Linked DNA regions of Oryzias latipes. Each later gene encodes a partner of the first gene's protein in a complex. Links are inferred from orthologs where the notes say so. Each region holds a gene or a part of one and is shown on either strand. Other genes may lie near its edges.

What was found.
Region 2: the proteins of eed (region 1) and jarid2 are in contact, whole or in part, in a cryo-EM structure (PDB 6C23), measured with the Homo sapiens proteins. The link is inferred for Oryzias latipes from reciprocal best matches to the Homo sapiens genes EED and JARID2. Residues at the interface, in NP_003788.2 of Homo sapiens: Pro95, Phe97, Tyr148, Arg306, Asn307, Tyr308, Cys324, Asp362, Ile363, Trp364, Tyr365, Arg414, Asp430; in NP_004964.2 of Homo sapiens: Pro109, Gln114, Arg115, Lys116, Phe117.
Region 3: the proteins of eed (region 1) and ezh1 are in contact, whole or in part, in a cryo-EM structure (PDB 7KTP), measured with the Homo sapiens proteins. The link is inferred for Oryzias latipes from reciprocal best matches to the Homo sapiens genes EED and EZH1. Residues at the interface, in NP_003788.2 of Homo sapiens: Cys84, Val85, Asn86, Ser87, Leu88, Lys89, Glu90, Asp91, Trp103, His104, Ser105, Lys106, Glu107, Val112, Arg120, Leu123, Tyr124, Gln129, Gly130, Glu131, Ile132, Arg133, Leu134, Leu135, Gln136, Ser137, Tyr138, Val139, Asp140, Tyr154; in NP_001982.2 of Homo sapiens: Gly37, Ala38, Lys39, Leu41, Tyr42, Val43, Asn45, Phe46, Lys48, Val49, Gln50, Lys52, Thr53, Gln54, Leu56, Asn57, Glu59, Trp60, Leu63, Arg64, Val65, Gln66, Pro67, Val68, Gln69, Ser70, Met71, Cys83, Thr84, Ile85.
Region 4: the proteins of eed (region 1) and ezh2 are in contact, whole or in part, in a cryo-EM structure (PDB 8VMI), measured with the Homo sapiens proteins. The link is inferred for Oryzias latipes from reciprocal best matches to the Homo sapiens genes EED and EZH2. Residues at the interface, in NP_003788.2 of Homo sapiens: Val85, Asn86, Ser87, Leu88, Lys89, Glu90, Asp91, Trp103, His104, Ser105, Lys106, Glu107, Asp109, Pro110, Val112, Arg120, Thr122, Leu123, Tyr124, Glu125, Gln129, Gly130, Glu131, Ile132, Arg133, Leu134, Leu135, Gln136, Ser137, Tyr138; in NP_001190176.1 of Homo sapiens: Arg34, Glu37, Val38, Lys39, Met41, Phe42, Ser43, Asn45, Arg46, Ile49, Arg52, Thr53, Ile55, Leu56, Asn57, Glu59, Trp60, Lys61, Arg63, Arg64, Ile65, Gln66, Pro67, Val68, His69, Ile70, Leu71, Glu82, Cys83, Ser84.

The regions. Positions count from the first base shown.
Region 1 is NC_019860.2:2,259,972-2,264,345, reverse strand, and holds the start of eed (polycomb protein EED), read left to right. Parts: upstream 1-1,481; 5' UTR 1,482-1,508; coding exon 1,509-1,631; intron 1,632-2,348; coding exon 2,349-2,501; intron 2,502-2,589; coding exon of another isoform or gene 2,590-2,595; coding exon 2,596-2,688; intron 2,689-3,162; coding exon 3,163-3,228; intron 3,229-4,346; coding exon 4,347-4,374. Other genes in the region: periodic tryptophan protein 2 homolog, read left to right, coding at 1-34. UniProt on the Homo sapiens protein: Polycomb group (PcG) protein. Component of the PRC2/EED-EZH2 complex, which methylates 'Lys-9' and 'Lys-27' of histone H3, leading to transcriptional repression of the affected target gene.
Region 2 is NC_019869.2:23,737,166-23,740,783, reverse strand, and holds part of jarid2 (protein Jumonji), read left to right. Parts: intron 1-94; coding exon 95-642; intron 643-2,662; coding exon 2,663-2,755; intron 2,756-2,857; coding exon 2,858-2,976; intron 2,977-3,067; coding exon 3,068-3,138; intron 3,139-3,244; coding exon 3,245-3,359; intron 3,360-3,430; coding exon 3,431-3,536; intron 3,537-3,618.
Region 3 is NC_019866.2:6,666,126-6,670,264, forward strand, and holds the start of ezh1 (histone-lysine N-methyltransferase EZH1), read left to right. Parts: upstream 1-1,250; 5' UTR 1,251-1,585; intron 1,586-2,371; 5' UTR 2,372-2,387; coding exon 2,388-2,555; coding exon of another isoform or gene 2,556-2,561; intron 2,562-2,668; coding exon 2,669-2,794; intron 2,795-2,878; coding exon 2,879-3,001; intron 3,002-4,004; coding exon 4,005-4,122; intron 4,123-4,139.
Region 4 is NC_019878.2:3,254,640-3,258,973, reverse strand, and holds the start of ezh2 (histone-lysine N-methyltransferase EZH2), read left to right. Parts: upstream 1-1,454; 5' UTR 1,455-1,853; intron 1,854-3,806; 5' UTR 3,807-3,831; coding exon 3,832-3,945; intron 3,946-4,111; coding exon 4,112-4,156; intron 4,157-4,334. Other genes in the region: protein CIP2A, read right to left, coding at 281-382. UniProt on the Homo sapiens protein: Polycomb group (PcG) protein. Catalytic subunit of the PRC2/EED-EZH2 complex, which methylates 'Lys-9' (H3K9me) and 'Lys-27' (H3K27me) of histone H3, leading to transcriptional repression of the affected target gene.

The DNA.
Region 1 (4,374 bases):
AGCCTCTTTGGATGACGATGACATGAGGCTTTAGCCGCTTGAAAGTCTCTTAGAAGCAACATTTTATAATAATAGAATCTTGTTTTGTACCTCTTTTAAAAATAAATGTATATATGTGGTGTTAAAAAGTTTGGTTTTGCTTCTCCGATCATTTTTTAAACTATTTTAACATGTTCTTAATGGTTTTTTTAGTGAAAAGTCTGCTGTTTTTAGCTAGTCGTTTTCTAGGACATAGTTTCTGGGAGAGCGGCTAGCTCACTGCCTTTTAAAATCTCCATGTTAGTGCCATTATGCGGCACGTTAACCAATCAGGGACCCAGCTTTGGGTACGTGATGTTTTCAGTGACTCTATCAGTGGATGGAAAAAAATATCTGGTTTGACTGGAGCAATCAAGCCAGCTACGCTACCGGACAGAGTAGTGACCTCCGATGCCCAGGGTCCAGCAGAGCTAGTGGAGCTCTCTATGTCACAGGACATTATTTAGGCCCTTCTGCAAATCTATTTATGCAGTTTATTATTCTGTGCTACAGGCATTGGACTGTGACTACACGATCCGACCTATCCGTTGCATTGAAGTTTTCGCATTTCCTCTGTTTAGGGGATTTTAGCCACCTCATACCTTTGACAAAGCTGTGACATCGACTCAAAGTCATTAGACTTGGCTCACAAATGACTGGTAAGTCCACTGTGCTTTGTTCCGAATTGAAATTTAAGGCTGTGTACAAATTCCTTCGCTATTCACGACTTAGTGCACTACATAGTGCGTTCGCTGCCGTTTGTACTGTCCGGATGTACAATTCCCAAATCGAGTGCCCTAGAAATCTGCCAGAAGTCTGCGAAAAACCAGTGTAGATCAATATTCACTAGATTGGCAAATATAAACATTGCATTTAATTTTTTTTGCGAAAAACAGTTTAAATGTATGTTTTTAATAAACCAACATTTTCATCATTGAACATGTGCGAAGGCTATGCGCAATTGCATGCTTTGCTGTCTTTATATTTTCTGTCACTACTACAAACTTTGTCAAATGGCAGTTTTTCGTGAGCTCCCGATTCACTATTTGAATAAAGAAATACTCAAATGCTATTTTAAACTATATTTAATTTCCTTTTTGACTACTACATTATCAGAAAAATCCTACAAAAACATGTTGAGAACAACATTTTTATCAGAGTGGGTCTTTCAAGGAAAAGAAGTGATAAGTGCGTAAATAAATTTCTGTCAAATGCTCAATATTGTGTTTTTTTTCTTTCCAAAATTTATAAGTTTTTGTCATCAAAATGCCAGCCAACTTTTATTTAGCTCATTCACGTCGTGTAAATTACGTCATTTTAAAAAACATTTTTTTGAACACAAATGTAACCATAACATTGATAAATCACAGGAAAAATTACATTTCTTTTTCTTTGTTTCCCGCTTATTGACGGGAAGGTCCATTAAAAACCCCCATTCCCAGCAGCCCTTGCGGCAGCGCACCGGAAGAGGCGGGACCCTGTGCCGAAAAATGAGGGAAAATAAGAGCATGTCCGAGTCCCCGTCGCAAGCGGCGAAAGAAACACCGGCGGCGAAAAAGCAAAAACTAAGCAGTGACGAAAACAGCAACCCCGACTTATCGGGAGACGAGAATGTGAGCAGCCGGTACCGGACTGTGTGTGTGTGGTTTTTTTTTAAAAACGACGAATGTTTAATCGCGCCGTTCACGTTAGCTTCCTGCTAAATTAGCAGCTAAAGCTAGCATCTTTGTCCGTTTTGGTTAAACACCTGTAGATGTGAAACTCCGTTGATTACAAAAAGCAGCTTCATGGTCACAAAAACAACAAACAAAACTAAAAGGTTACGTACATTTCAGCTTTGGACACGAACATGCTTTACTTTGAAATTAATTTTGTAGCTAGCTTGCCTTAGCACGAGCATCCTAGTGTTTTTCGGCCATTTTATAAAAAAAAAAGATTTCTTCAAGTAAACCTAAGTGATTTCGTCTTCAAATAAGGCTCACACAAACCGTTGTCCTAATTTTTTAGTTAGATTTGAAGTCCTCAACGTAACTAAAAGGCTAAAGCGAAAATTATTTTATATTGCTTGTATTTTTGTTGCATATTGTGTCCTATTTACATGTATTTAGAACTTTAAATCAATACAATTACCTGTAAATTTGAGAAGAGCAACGGAAATTTTGAAACAAACTGTGAAAGATGGAAAATTTTCAATTTCGTTTTGCAGCTTTTATTTTGAAAATTTTCAAATATTGTGCTTTTATTATGAAAAGTGAAATGCATGATGGAATGGATTTGTTTGAGGACTTGTATGTTTCTGAACAAAAAAAACCCTGACATTGCGTGTACAGGACGATGCCGTTAGCGTGGAAAGCGGGACGAACGCGGAGCGCCCGGACACGCCCACCAACACAACCAACGCCCCGGGCAAGAAGAGCTGGGGCAAGGGCAAGTGGAAGTCAAAGAAGTGTCGGTACTCCTTTAAATGTGTCAACAGTCTGAAGGTGAGTCCACCCCCTGCTGGCCAATCCGACGTTTGCAACGCTTTAAAAAACGAACTGACAATAAAATGGCGATTTTCCTCTGACCGAGGTTCAGGAGGATCACGGACAGCCGCTGTTTGGCGTCCAGTTCAACTGGCACAGCAAGGAAGGAGACCCACTTGTGTTTGCCACCGTTGGGAGTAACAGGGTAATTTCTCCCTCATGTTGATCCAATGTTTGTTTTAATCACGCAAATCTGTGCTAGCATTTTGAATCCAAAGATCGTAAAATTGACCGTATATTAGAACTGAACCGAGTCCATGTCCGAACAATTAACAAAAAATTATATAGTGCAGGACTGTCCAGTGCCTTGGATTTTAACGAAATCCGAACACTTGCTAGCTACTTATTAAAAAAAATTATTAAGTACGACGTCACCTATTTCCTCAAGTAAAAAACAAATAAGGATGAACGTTTTACGATTGTTCTGAAGACGAAATCATCGTCCAATGAAAAAATGTACTTTCTCAAATCCAGTTTGTGCAATTTCATAGTAAATGGAAAGGCAGCTAGTGATGTCTTATATAATATAGCAAATAATCATTACAGTTTTGTTTGAATGTTATGCCAAAGCTTGATCAGTTTTTCGGGACCCTAAAGTTGTTTGTTTGTTTTTGTGCAGGTGACTCTGTACGAGTGTCACTCTCAGGGAGAGATCCGACTCCTACAGTCCTACGTTGATGCGGACGTATCCTTCCACCTTCTGCGGTACAAACTAGTCCTTGGTGGGCTCCGGAGCTGGTCGGGGTGCGTGTTGCTGTTTTTATATGAAGCATTGTCGTTTACGACACACTTTGAAGCTTTGCGGGACTATTTTATGTCAAATGTGGCAAACAAGCATGGAGGAAGATGATCACATGCAGCATCAATGTCAGCAAGATGACCAGCCAATTCAATTACGGAAGCTCGTACCTTAAAATTGAATATTTATCTGTAGAAAAGCAACTTTTGTCACTTTCTTTTGGGACCAGCAGATGCGCTTGATGTTCTTGTTTTTTAACGCGACAGTGCCCCCTGGTGTCTGGTTCATCCTAAATATGAATTCTTGCTGTGTTTACTGATCTAGAGCCTATTTTCTGTAGTCGGTCAATGCTTTAGTTCCACTTTGGGGAACTAGGATTGTTGGGCATTATGGGTAGTGTAGTCAGGAGCCTGACGGAGTGATACGTGCACATTAAATAGACAAAGTGCACATGGATAACCACACAATTGACTAGAAAAACATCCCATCAACACCTTTGACCAATCGCCTTCTTCCTGCCCTTTCTACGCATTCTGGGTTGTGTAGTTGTGTCGTTTTTTATTCCTGACAAATGTCTTTCGTTACCTACACAAGAACCACAACTAAAATTAGAGAACATTAATGAGTTAAAGTCGTCCATTGTGATGTCATAGCACTCATGGACCACAGGGCATGGAAGCGTCCTCCACTGACATAAAACTACAAGAAAGGTTGTGGCGGTCTTACTGTTACCGAAGTTAGCCACTGTTACGTGTTAGTAAAGTATTAATAACAGATAATTACATGAATTAACCGGATGAAATACCATGGGCATGTTTTTAAATAAAACTAATACATAATTAATAACTAATTTATAATATTTCCATGTTAAAGTTTCATAAAACTATTGAGTTAATTAACTAAATTGCTGAGTCATTTTTTATCTGTTGTCGGGGTGTATCGCCCTAATCGGACCACACAGACTCTGCAATCCCATCCTAAACTGTAAGCACCTCCCAGCTCCAGAAACTTTCATTGGAATTGCAACGTTGCTATCGGTTTTCCTTGACTAACGCGCTCCCGAGGCGGACGAGAACTTCTACACGTGCGCTT
Region 2 (3,618 bases), on another chromosome or scaffold:
TTTTGAGCAATGAACCTTCTTCCTGCACATCATTTTTGTTTGGAGTTTTTGCAAAAGAGATGTGTGGAAGCTGATTTCTGTCCTCCTCCTGCAGGTGGCTGTGAAGTGGACCTGTCGCGCTTTTTCCAGCTCATCAACGACATGGGGGGCATGCAGCAGGTGATGGACCTGAAGAAGTGGACCAAGCTTGCAGACCTCCTGCGCATCCCCAAGTCCGCGCAGGACCGGCTGGCCAAGCTGCAGGAGGCCTACCTCCAGTACATCCTCTCCTACGACTCACTCAATGCCGACGAGCGCCTTCGACTGCTGGCAGAAGTGCTGGAAGACAAAAAGAGGCTGGAGTCGCGGCGGGGCCCCCTGGAGGGCCTCTCTGACTCCTCTGCACCCAACGGACTCTCGCTGCCCCGCTACGAGCCAAAGAACGGGCTGGTCGGCGGGATCGTGGGAGGGACGACCGGGCATCACCGCACCAACGGAGTCTATCACTGCTTGAAGGAACTGAAGGCTCAGGTCAAAGCGGGTCGGCGCCGGCTCTTCGCTCAGGAAAAACAAGGCAAAGAGGACAGGCAGCACGGGGAGGAGCCGCACTCGGGGCAGGAAAATGGGGGCTTGTTTGGCGACCAACACAAATGCATTTACAAGGTAAGGAGGAAGAAGCCGCGAAGGTTAAAACCCCAGATGAGAGGCAGATAGAAGAATGTCCGTTCCCTGGGTGTTTCCTGTTATGCCTGTCATGTGACTTTAAGTCAATAAGTGCTGCTAACACCTCTTATTGTCATTTAAAGGTGAGCAGTTTCCATCAACGGCAGGGAAGCATCAGTGGACGTTGCTTCCCCATAGCCTCATTTGCCTGAACTTTACTTTTTAGTCTAATCTTACTGATCAGACACACTTTTACACCGTCCACTAGTTTCTATTTTTTTCTATCCTGGCATTTTTTATCAGGTTTTTGCTGAAAAGCCCGTTGAGCTCGCTGCTTTTCGTCTGTTTCTTTTTTAACTGTCTGAGCTCATTCCGAATTGAGACAAACGTGAGGTGAAGTCCACCTTTCCTCAAATGACATCAGCAGGCCCCGCCCACAGCACGACTCTTTAACTTGTTAAGGAAACCCATTTGCAAACCTGAAAATAAGATTTATTCCACTGATAGTGGAAGTCGGAGCACCAAGGGTTCATTGGCGCTCTGACTTTACGCCCCTTTACACTTCCTTTCTTAGCCTAGCATCCTCTTGTGTGCATTTCAGTTCTATCCCATCAACTCAGAGGTTAAGGTAAAATAACCTACTTATGACTGAAACTGTATATTTTGCCTACTCTTTGATCAAAAATTCAGTTTTTTATGCTTCATCTGACTGTTTTTTTTGTCTTACTATATGAGATCGGAGCAGCTGACGCGCTGCTGCGGTTTCAAATCGTTCCAAATGTTCAGCAGAAGGTTTGGTTACCGAACAAAAAAAAGCAAAAAAAAAAAAAAGAAAAGAAAAAAAACAACAAAAAAAGAAAAAGTGCAACAAAAAAAAAAGCATTTCACTTTTCACTTCACAACATAGTGTGTCTTATTTCCTCATGAAGTGGCAGCAGCTTGTTGTGTCTTGAGGCGGTCTTCTCCGGCGATCCTTCGGTTTTTTCTTCAGCGCCTTTGGTCTTCCTCGCTCACACGTGTCGCGTTCCCATCATCACGTCCTGTGGGCAGCTGTGAGGATCTGGCCAGCTGAAATGTAGGTCAGAAGCCCCCACCCCACACCTATCCGACAGCCCCGCCCCCATCCCCAATGCTAACCCCCTTCCACTCTGTCTCTATGCGTTAGCTTCCCGTTTCTACCCGGCAGCCCTCCCTCCTCGCGGTTTCTCCATCGGCAGATGACCTCGCTCTTTGTCGCCTCTCATCACTTTAACCCTAAACGCCTTTTCTTTCTCTTTGGAGATGACTTGTTTTGGTGTAAAGGCGCGGGGATTTGAGCGGAGGCTGTCAGTCACTGCGTGAAAGCGGCGGCCATGTTTGTCTGCTCCTGTGGCTCCTCTCCCCACACACCCAACGCCCCAAATCTGAGGCTCTTTTGATTCCAGTCTCTGTTGCTTTGGTAACGCCCGCCCCATTTAATAGAGTGAGTCGACCCGGAGTGATCAATAGACCTGTGAGGGACAGAGTCACACGGGAAGGGCCGTCCCACCTGGACAGGACAGGACAGGCTTGTCTTTAGTGTATGAAGGTAGAGTTTCACTAACTGCAAAACAGAATGGTAAGACGGTAAAAAAACATCCTTAGTTTTTGCCTTATCAAGAAAGTCTGTCAATAGCAAAATAATCTTAGTTCGTGAAAATCTTTCTTAGGTAAGACCTTTTTTGTTAACCCCATTGGCAGATTTGTTTTTTGCCTATTTAAAGCAAATCTACTTCTGGGTTAGAAATGTTGGACTTGTTTCTGTCATTGCAGTGAGGATAGCGTTAGACAGTGCAGGAGACGGTGTTGTTGGTGCTGAGCGGTCAGCTTGCTGTAGAAACGGACACGCGTGTTCCTCCGTCTGGCAGTGAAGGAGTCCATTGATGTCCAGCTGTCTTTTTTTAACTCATTGTTTTATTCAGCTTCAGCTCTTACTTTGCAAATCCCATCAACCCCCTGATCATCATCCCTTCCAGTGTTTGACATTATGTTTTGGTTGCAGGGGAAATCTGTGTCCTTGACCAACTTCTTCAGGATAGCTCGCAACACCATGACCATGTGCTTTAACAAGGAGCCGGGGGCCGCCGAGGTCGAGGTCAGCGCCCGATGTTTGACGTGGTCGTGGACTCGCCATCTTCCCCTGAAGTGAGATCGGTGCTAAAATCATGATTTGTATTTTCTTTTTTCTGTCTTTCAGCAAGAATACTGGAGGATTGTAGAGCAGAGAGACTCCCACGTGGCAGTGCATTGTGGGAAGGTGGACACGAGCACACACGGCAGCGGTTTCCCCACAGGAAAGTCAGAGCCATTCTCAAAGTGAGTGTCGTGTTTGAGGCGCCGGGCGTGGCGCCAACGTGACGCCCTGAAGCACAAACGCAGGACAAATCTCTGTTTTCTGTCTTCTCAGACACGGTTGGAACCTCACTGTCCTCCCCAATAACTCTGGATCCATTTTGAGGCATCTAGGTGCTGTGCCTGGTAAGGATCGGCCTCTCTGTTCCAAAGCACTCTAAACTTTTTGAATTTCTATTTCATGCCTTTATGAATGGCGCCTAATGCTTTGCTGTGTCTTGTGTCTTTGCAGGAGTGACTGTTCCCTGGCTAAACATTGGCATGGTCTTTTCTACCTCATGCTGGTCTAGAGACCAAAACCGCCTTCCATATATTGATTACTTACACACTGGTGCTGATTGCATTTGGTAAGTAGAGTTGGTGCTTCTGCTCTCCTCTCATAAAGTCCTCAGCTAAATGGTTTTTGCCGTCCTGGCAGGTATTCTGTCCCTGCTGAGGAGAAGGCTAAGCTGGACGAGGTGGTCCACACACTGCTTCAAGCCAACGGCACGCCAGGACTAGAAATGCTGGAGAAGAACATCATGGTGACTGTTTTCTCCAGCTTTTTCTTTGGATCCTGTTTGAAGTTGCTGCTTCGGTCGATGACCGCTGTTCTTCCTCTGGCAG
Region 3 (4,139 bases), on another chromosome or scaffold:
TTTGCTCCAGATACTAGAAATGTCTTGTTCCAAATCTGAAGAAACCAGTTGCAATAGAAAGTTCAAAAATCAACAACATCACAAGTTTTAAAAACTGATAATGTCTTCACTTCCTAAATTCAGTTTGTTGTCTTTTGACAGTTCATTATCAGCATGTTGCTAGCAACGGCCTACACTGCTTCTAAATTGCCAAGCGTGCTTTGTTGACTGAAATATGACCACTTTCACAAACCAAAAGCATAAATAATACCCCAAGCGGGTGTGGTGTAACAGTTCAGAGCAGAGAAAAGAAACACAATGTGTTATGTGATGTTAAAAATTGTTGTCTTAATGCATGAGGAGTTAGAAAAGTAAAATTATTCCATGACTGGCAGCAGAAGAGTGCCATCTTGTGTCTCATAGAAGTATTGTCTCAAAATTCGGACGTTTATGAACTTTTATCTCCCAAAATGAAGAAAATAAAATAAATGCACAGAGATTATTTATAATTTATAAAAACCTCCACAGAAGTGATAAAATCCTGGAACAAGATATGATGATGTGTTTTTGGTTGAAATTCTGATTTTTAATGTATGTAAGGTTGAATAAACGATGTGCATTAGTTTGGCTTCAAACATTAAAACCTTTACATGCTATGACAGGAGTCTTTTGTTGAAAATCAAATCATAAACATTTACAAATGAAATAGATCCAAGCACTGCAACAAAACGTTAGACCTGTTATTATTTTTGACTGTTGGAAATGTGATTTAATTAAACTATACCACGCCATTTTACTCGTAGAGTATATAAGGTATTTGAGACAATTTTAGAAAAAGAAAAATAAACAGGTCATTAAATATAATAAGATTGGGCTCCCCCTGCCGGAGAAATGTAAAACAGCAGCTAAATATTTAGACAGGTCCAAAGGAATGTTAGAAAACTGGAGGCTGGTTACCAATTAAGTCTTACCTGAAACTCTCACTTACAGATATTTGTATTCTGAAATGAAAGAAAGACTATTTATATTTGGTTAAAACAGTTTTTGCATTTTTTTTTTTTTGTTTTTTGATCGATTGTTATTTCTATTATAGCCACACAGCCCTATAAATTACACTTTGACCTTTTTTAATTGCTTAATTGTAGATACTGAAATAGATGCTGTATTTCCATTTTAGTTTTTCTATTTTTCACCTTGGTCAAAGAAGAGGGGTCATTCATTCAGATGGTACTTCAAGCAGTTGCATCAGTTCCTGTGCGTGTGCGTAATGGCTGTGCCGTTGCTGCTCCACGCTACTTTTTATTCCTAGGGCGCAGAATAGACATAAATCCCAGCTCCGCTTGGAAGCGCTCTGGTCGCAGTAAAGACGTCACCCTCGTGCTCGGGTTGGTTCAACCAAAGTGCGCAGCTATTTGTACGCTCCAACAACAACCTCCAGCACCATGCGTTTGGATAACGTGCTGCTTTCACGGAGATCCTCTCGCCTTCTGGACTCGATATTTTCGTCTAATCCATAGCACAAACGATTTTTTTTCCTTCTTTTTTTTTTTCTTCCCAACGCCGGGATTTGATCGCGTTGCACCAAAATCGGACGTGGATTTTAAAGGTGTGTGACTGCGACACTGGACGTGGGGATCTGGACGCACACACGCGCGTGTGCAGGAAAACCTTCATTGTAGAGGAGTCAGTGCGCAAGTCTTAAAAGTGTTCTGGGTTTAAATGGACACGGTAGTGCGCCACGGTGCTGTGGCTGCACCCTCAGGACGAAGCCCCGCTGCGTATCTGTGGTGGAAACGTGTTTACGCGTGAAAATCAGACCCACGGCGACAATTTCTGAGCTCCATTTTCATATGCTATTCATCTGTCACTGTGTTCAGCTTGTATCTTTGGGGAAAATGTTTGCAGGCGGTTATGAAACACTAAAAAACAGCGCTACGCACTTTTCTGCTCCGCCGAGGCACGCCCACTCTTTAGAAATGTGGGCTAAAAAACCACGGACTTCGTGCTTGCACGCATGCCTGGACTGTTGGCTTTTTTCCGCGTGTTTCACTATTATTATTTTACCCCAAGTATGGCTATAATCATGGGGTAACCTTGAGATTTTAAAGCACCCTTCAAAAGGGCTTTTTACCAGTAGATGGCAATTTTGTTTTGCGAACAGAGGGGGGCGCTGTTTTGCAAAAACCTGCAGCAGTGGCTTATGGGAAAGTGCAAGTGTTCTGTTTTTTTTAAAACCGCCTTCAGGCTTTGAAGATGGAGGAATATTTATAAAAATGAGCTAAAATGGAAAAATACATAAAAATATTTTTTATAAGAAGCTGGTAACAGTTTGCTTTAACACATTCTTTATGGCAGAATTGTGAGTTGACCTTTGACTCATTTGTTTTGCCAGAGTTTGTCCTGCAGTCATGGAGGAAACAGCACATCCTGCCCCTGGTACCAGTGTTGCCCCATCTCAGCCAAGGCCTCCGCCCTGCACTTTTGCCCCGTCCCGCAGCCTGCTGGAGTGGAGGCGGAGGGTCAAGTCAGAGTATATGCGCCTGCGCCAATTAAAACGCCTTAAAAAAGCAGACGAGGTCAAGGTAGATTTAGAGTTGTGTCAGCATCTTCCATTTGAATACTAATAAAGTACTTTGTCCCTGTTTCTCATTCACTCAAACCTGTGTTTGGATTTCTACTGTTTTTATAGACCCTGTTCTCATCCAACCGGGAGAAGATTGAGCAGCAGACTACTGTCCTTAACTCAGAGTGGTCCACGCTTAAGATTCAGTCCATCCCGCTGTCTGTGTCTAATGTAGCACTGGCTAATAAGAAGGTGATGATGTTTAGAAACTGCCCATATATGAGGAATATTGCTCTAGGTTCTCCAAAATGACTGTTTTTCTGGGTTTTCTTTCAGATGTGTTCGGTGGAGTTTGGTTTCCCAGGATTCAAAGCTCAAGCCATCGCCATGAGGCCACTGTCAACAGTGGCAGGGATCCCATTCATGTACTCCTGGTCTCCCCTGCAGCACAATTTCATGGTATGTGAGTGGTGCAATAACTGGGGAGCAGTTTCAGTCATTTTAACTTACCTTGATAACAATGACTCTCTGATTGGGGTCAAATAAGGATCAGCTTAAACACCCACTCCAACAAAAATTGTCTTTTGGGTGCTTTTAACACGTTCATGTGGCATTTTTCTGAGGGCCACCGCTAGGGATTTTGTGCCCCATGAAAATCATTTTTTACAGGGCCTCTAACACAGTGGCAAATATTTTTTGATGCTGTTTCACATGCAATTATACATTATGAAGACATTTTTCACTATCATTGTCATCTTTGGGACAAAATAACATGACAACTGACATGTAAAGAATGGGAAGAACTGAGCAGTCTCAATACAATATTGAAAATTTAAGTTTCAAACTTGAATGAAAAGAAATATATAACTAAAAGCAACTGAAAAATAATATTTGTTTGTAACAGCTGCTTCATTAGAGGAGAGATGACACCGGCCGCGCCATCAACAGACGCTGTTTCGTAGTGGAAATTATGTTACCAGAATCTCTATCACCACATGTCAATCATGCTCCGGTAGCCAATGGGCTCAAAGCCCCACCCCCATGTCAAATAAGGCTTAATAAAAAGAATTGAGGACTGAAAGCAAAGACAGAGAGAAGCGAAAAAACAAAAGTTGAAAACACAAAACAGCATCTATTATAAACAAACATTTATCATTTGGTAACAGTTTTAGGTTCATAGTGTAGGTGCTTTTCTTTTATATTAAAAGTATAAATTTACTTTTTTTATTTTCAATATCTCCTTTAAGTTTTATATATATATATATATATAGAGAGAGAGAGAGAGAGGATTTACAATCCAATTTTTCATTAACTTTTAGCTGATCCAGATTTGATTGAAACTTTATTTTACCAGGAAATCCCTTGAGATAAAATTTCTTTTTTGAGAGAAACCTGTACAAGAGGCATTGGCACACACTCACACACAGCTCTGAGCCTTGCGTCCTTTTTTGTGTTTCTGAAGGTAGAGGATGAGACGTTCCTCCATAACATCCCTTACATGGGCGATGAGGTACTGGAACAGGACGAGGCTTTCCTGGAGGAGCTCATTGATAACTATGATGGTGTCCATGGTGACAGAGGTTTGTGTTCCGAAACT
Region 4 (4,334 bases), on another chromosome or scaffold:
AGCAACCCAGATGATCTGTTTAATTCTGTTATGTTGATGCATATCAGGGAAAGGCCAAGAGTTCAGGAGCAAAATCAGAACCTGATCACATTCATGTTTCCAGGTCACAAACTCTGCCTGCGGGTTTCTGACAAAAACACGAACCAAACATTTGTGCCAAGACAAAATAAAGGTGAGTTTTGCTGCAGAGTTCTGCGTTTGTTGTTCCTCACAGTGACAGAGTACAGATGACGTCTCACACGAGCAGTGACAAAGACTACGTCTGACCGCTGGTGCTCACCTCCACCTGTTTTTGAAGCTGTGCTGCTTGCTGCGCCGTCCTGCCGTCTCTGTACTGCTGGATAGCCAGCAGCAGAGACTTCAAACACGTCGTTGTGTCCATCTTGGGGGACTGTTATGACAAGTGCTAACGCCCGCTAGCAAGTTAGCTCAACGGCAAACACTAGTCGCGGGACAACCAATTTTCTTGCTGTGATTTGAAAAAAACAAACAAACAAATCCCGCTAACTTATTTTAGCACATTTATAGCTGTTCAGCCACTTCACTTTTCTACCATTCATTAATATCAACTAAAGCAAAGCGACGTCCTCCCGCTTCCAGGTTCGAACGAAGAAGGAATGAACCATGTCCAAAAAAGGTTGTTCGGGAAAGCTTTTTTTAACTGACTGGATGAACATCAAATTGCCTTCTAAATTAGTCTGTAGTATATTTTTTATTGAAAGTGGTGTTTTATATAAGGCCCATTAAATCGTCACCATTAAGTTTTCTATATAAACAAACAAACAAAAATTCTAAAAATCCCCCCTCCCCAATTTTATGGATATCACCCGAAGTGATGACGCAACAAGACAGGTAACCAATCACCGTCGTAGAGACATACACACATACAGACACACGCACGCACACACTCAAAAAGTAACAAAATATATTTTTTGTTAAATATGTAAAAAAAATATTTATCAAATGTTTTTTAACTTTTTTGTTACAAATTTTGCAAACTCACAAAGAGAATTCTGAAGTTAACCAATTAAGACATGAAGGAAAAAAAATTGAAAATGACTGAAAAAAATATTTTTCATACTTTTGGACATGAAAACAGCATAAACAATTTCATATTATTTTAGGATTGCTCCTAAATTAATTTAAATGTTAAATGATTAATCAATAATATTTATTATACAAATGTTTTATTGAAAACTTGTATTATAAATCTGTTGTGCTGTTTGTGCTAAACGTTTGTGCTTTATGTAACTGTTGTTTTATATTTTATTTCGTCAACAATTTGGAGAACAAAGAAAACCGGCGCACATGTCCCCACCGCAGGGCCCCAGCGATTCTCTGATTCTTATTGGTTATCAGTGTCGGGCCAGCTGACCTATCGTAAAAGGAGACACTGAAACGTCTAGGATAGACTTCTTTGATTGGTGCAAAGGGTTGGCGCCTCTTGAATCGATGCAAGCAAAGCGGGCGGAAAGAGAGACAGACAGGGAGCAGTTTGAACCGTGTTTGAGTGCAGGCGGAAATATAAAAATAACATCGTTGTTGTCAGGAGACAGATAATGTAACTGCTGGAAACTCAAATGAAAAAAAAAATATATAAAAACGGAATATTTAATTTAGATTCAAACGTAAAGTAAACGTTGTTTTTACCAAATTCGGTGACGTGAAGCCGGTTCTGGCGCTAAGTAAACCGCTCCGTCCCGCCTAGCTAACCGCTAGTTAGCCTACAAGCTAACATTACAGCTAGCAGTGACACGGAGCGGCTAATCTCCAACACAAAGGACGACTTTGCGTATCTCTACCGTTGCCATTCCGAATCTCTCCGTTGAATGAGGACTGAGCCTCCTGTACAGGTGAGGGCGGTTGTCACTGTGTCGAAATACAGCCCTTCCCTAGATCGGCCGAGTTTGTTCTCGGTTTGTGGATCTCCCCGTCTCTTTGTTAACCACCCGACTCGCTAGCTGAGCTCGCCAGGCTGTCGTGCCACATTTTGTATGGCTGTCAAAGAATAGACAGCTCCACTTACATCAGTTTTGTCATTTCTGATGAAGAAAAGTGCTGAAACATTTGCTCCCGGTGTTCTGAATTGATGAGTGTTCAAATGTAGGGAAACATGTCTATTTTTAACTTGAGTTACCGAGCTGTGCGGGCAGAGAAGCACGTTTTACGGAGCTAAACCGAAAGCCGGCTGATAAATGTGTTTCAAGAACCACTTGAGTCGTTTAGCAAGTTTCTTTTGTACAGAGGACAGGGTTACACACTTCAGCGACACAATGAAAATGTGGACAAACACCTGCTCGAAAGGATGCACGAACATTTCTATAATTTGACAACCAGTTTGTGTAATTCTTCCTGGTGGTGGCGATACTCATCTCATTTTATGAAGATGAGGATTGTCTTCAGGAAGTCATGAAAAGCTGTAGAGGATGTTGTGTGATCACCTAGTCTGTGCACCGACAATGAATAAAAAGAACACAGACCACACACACCTCACAACCTTTCAAGTTTAAAGTTCAGTTTTGTGAAATTGTTGATTAAACCTTTGATCATTTGAAACACCCACTCCATTGAAAAAGGTGTTTTTGGTGCTTTGAACATGTTCTTGTTGCATTTTCCTCACGAAGGAGGATAATTTAAACACAATTAACCATAAAACTGCACTTCTGAGTGTTTCTTCATTTAAATAGTTGTGTATCAGGTGCCGATGAGAAATGTCATTGGAAAAAGCTTGTAGGTGTGACATAGGTGCTACAGTAGGCAGGCCAAAGGCTTCCTGCTCCGCTCCATTCTGATGCATCCACCGTCAGATAGATAGATCCATGAACGTCTTTGTTTTCCTCGTCTGGGCTGACATCTGGATCTAAGCTGTACAGCTGGATAGCTCCAATGTTGCTTGCCATTTTTGTTGCACCGGTAATGTTAGTTTGGGGTTATGAGGGGCTGTAAGCTAACAGGCGACAGTAAACAGATGGATGATGGGAAGGCTTATTCCACACCAACAGTCCCGGCCACAACTTAAGAGCTGAATTTCTAAAAAAAAACTGCCGCTCTGCAGAAACTGTCCTAGAAAATGACTCGGGCATTTTGATTTTGGCAAAAAAAAATGAAAATAACCCATCATATTCATGACTAAAAGACCACTGGAAAGGCTTTGACAATCCATCAAAACAATAAAAGGCCTTTTTTTTTAAAGTGGGACTTAAAAATCTGCCTTTTTGTTTGGATAAAGTGTTGGTGAATACCAGGTTTATTGTTTTATTTCCAGGTTTTCGCCTTTTCCTTTTGATCAGAAAGTGCAAGTCTTTTTATTTCAGTTATGCCAACGTGTCATGGCGCTGCTGTTTGATGACAGGTGTCTGACACATCCGAGCTCTAGTGTGAGGTTTGAATCTGATTCACCGATCTGGCAGTAACTGCAGGGGCGGCAGATTGATCTCTATGCAAATGTTAAGACAAGATAAAGAGAAAACCATGAAAATCACCATAAACATTATTTTGACGAGTTAAAAACATTTAATTTACACCTCTGTCTTGTAGATCTTCCTTATTAAGAAACAGTAAGCAGAGAATAAACATTTAGAAAACTTGTAAATAAGCCTTTTATCTTCTTTGAGTGAAATCCTATGAGCTGGAATAGACTAGTTTTATTTTTTATTCTCAGGATTACAGTTGGGACGAAAAGAATCAGACAAAGCTGAAACTCGCAAGAATTTTAGCGAACGTCACCTCGCTATTTGACTTTGACCCTTCCTGCCTGAAAAGCTGATGGGATTAAATCTACACAGATTTTGTGTGTACTGTTGCAGGACTGTGTGTGGCTGCAGGCTGATCATGGGGACGGGGAAACGCTCAGACAAGGGTCCTGCCTGCTGGAAGAGGAGGGTAAAGTCTGAATACATGAGGCTTCGGCAGATGAAACGCTTTAGACGGGCAGACGAGGTCAAGGTTTGTACTCAAAGGTCTTCTTCATTTTGAAGCGGTCTTTATATTCATGTTAACACTGTTTCACGTTGATTATTTTTCTTCATTTTGTTGAAAAAATCTGTTATTCAAAAGTCCTGCAATAAAACTTTCGAGTTGAACAGTAATTAAAAATAATATTACTATCCAGATGGAGGGCGTTGGTGATCAGCATCTGACCTGCAGCTGGAAAATTGTAATGTTTTATTTAAATTATTTATATTTTGAATCATTGTGTGCGTTTCTAGATGAGTTTCAGACGCCTCAGTAGAGACGGCAAACAATTCTGTCTTATTGAATGATGTTGCGTGTTTTTGTTTCAGAAAGAAGCATCTTTGTGCAGCCAAGTCTCTTTCTGTGTTTTGAAAATTGAA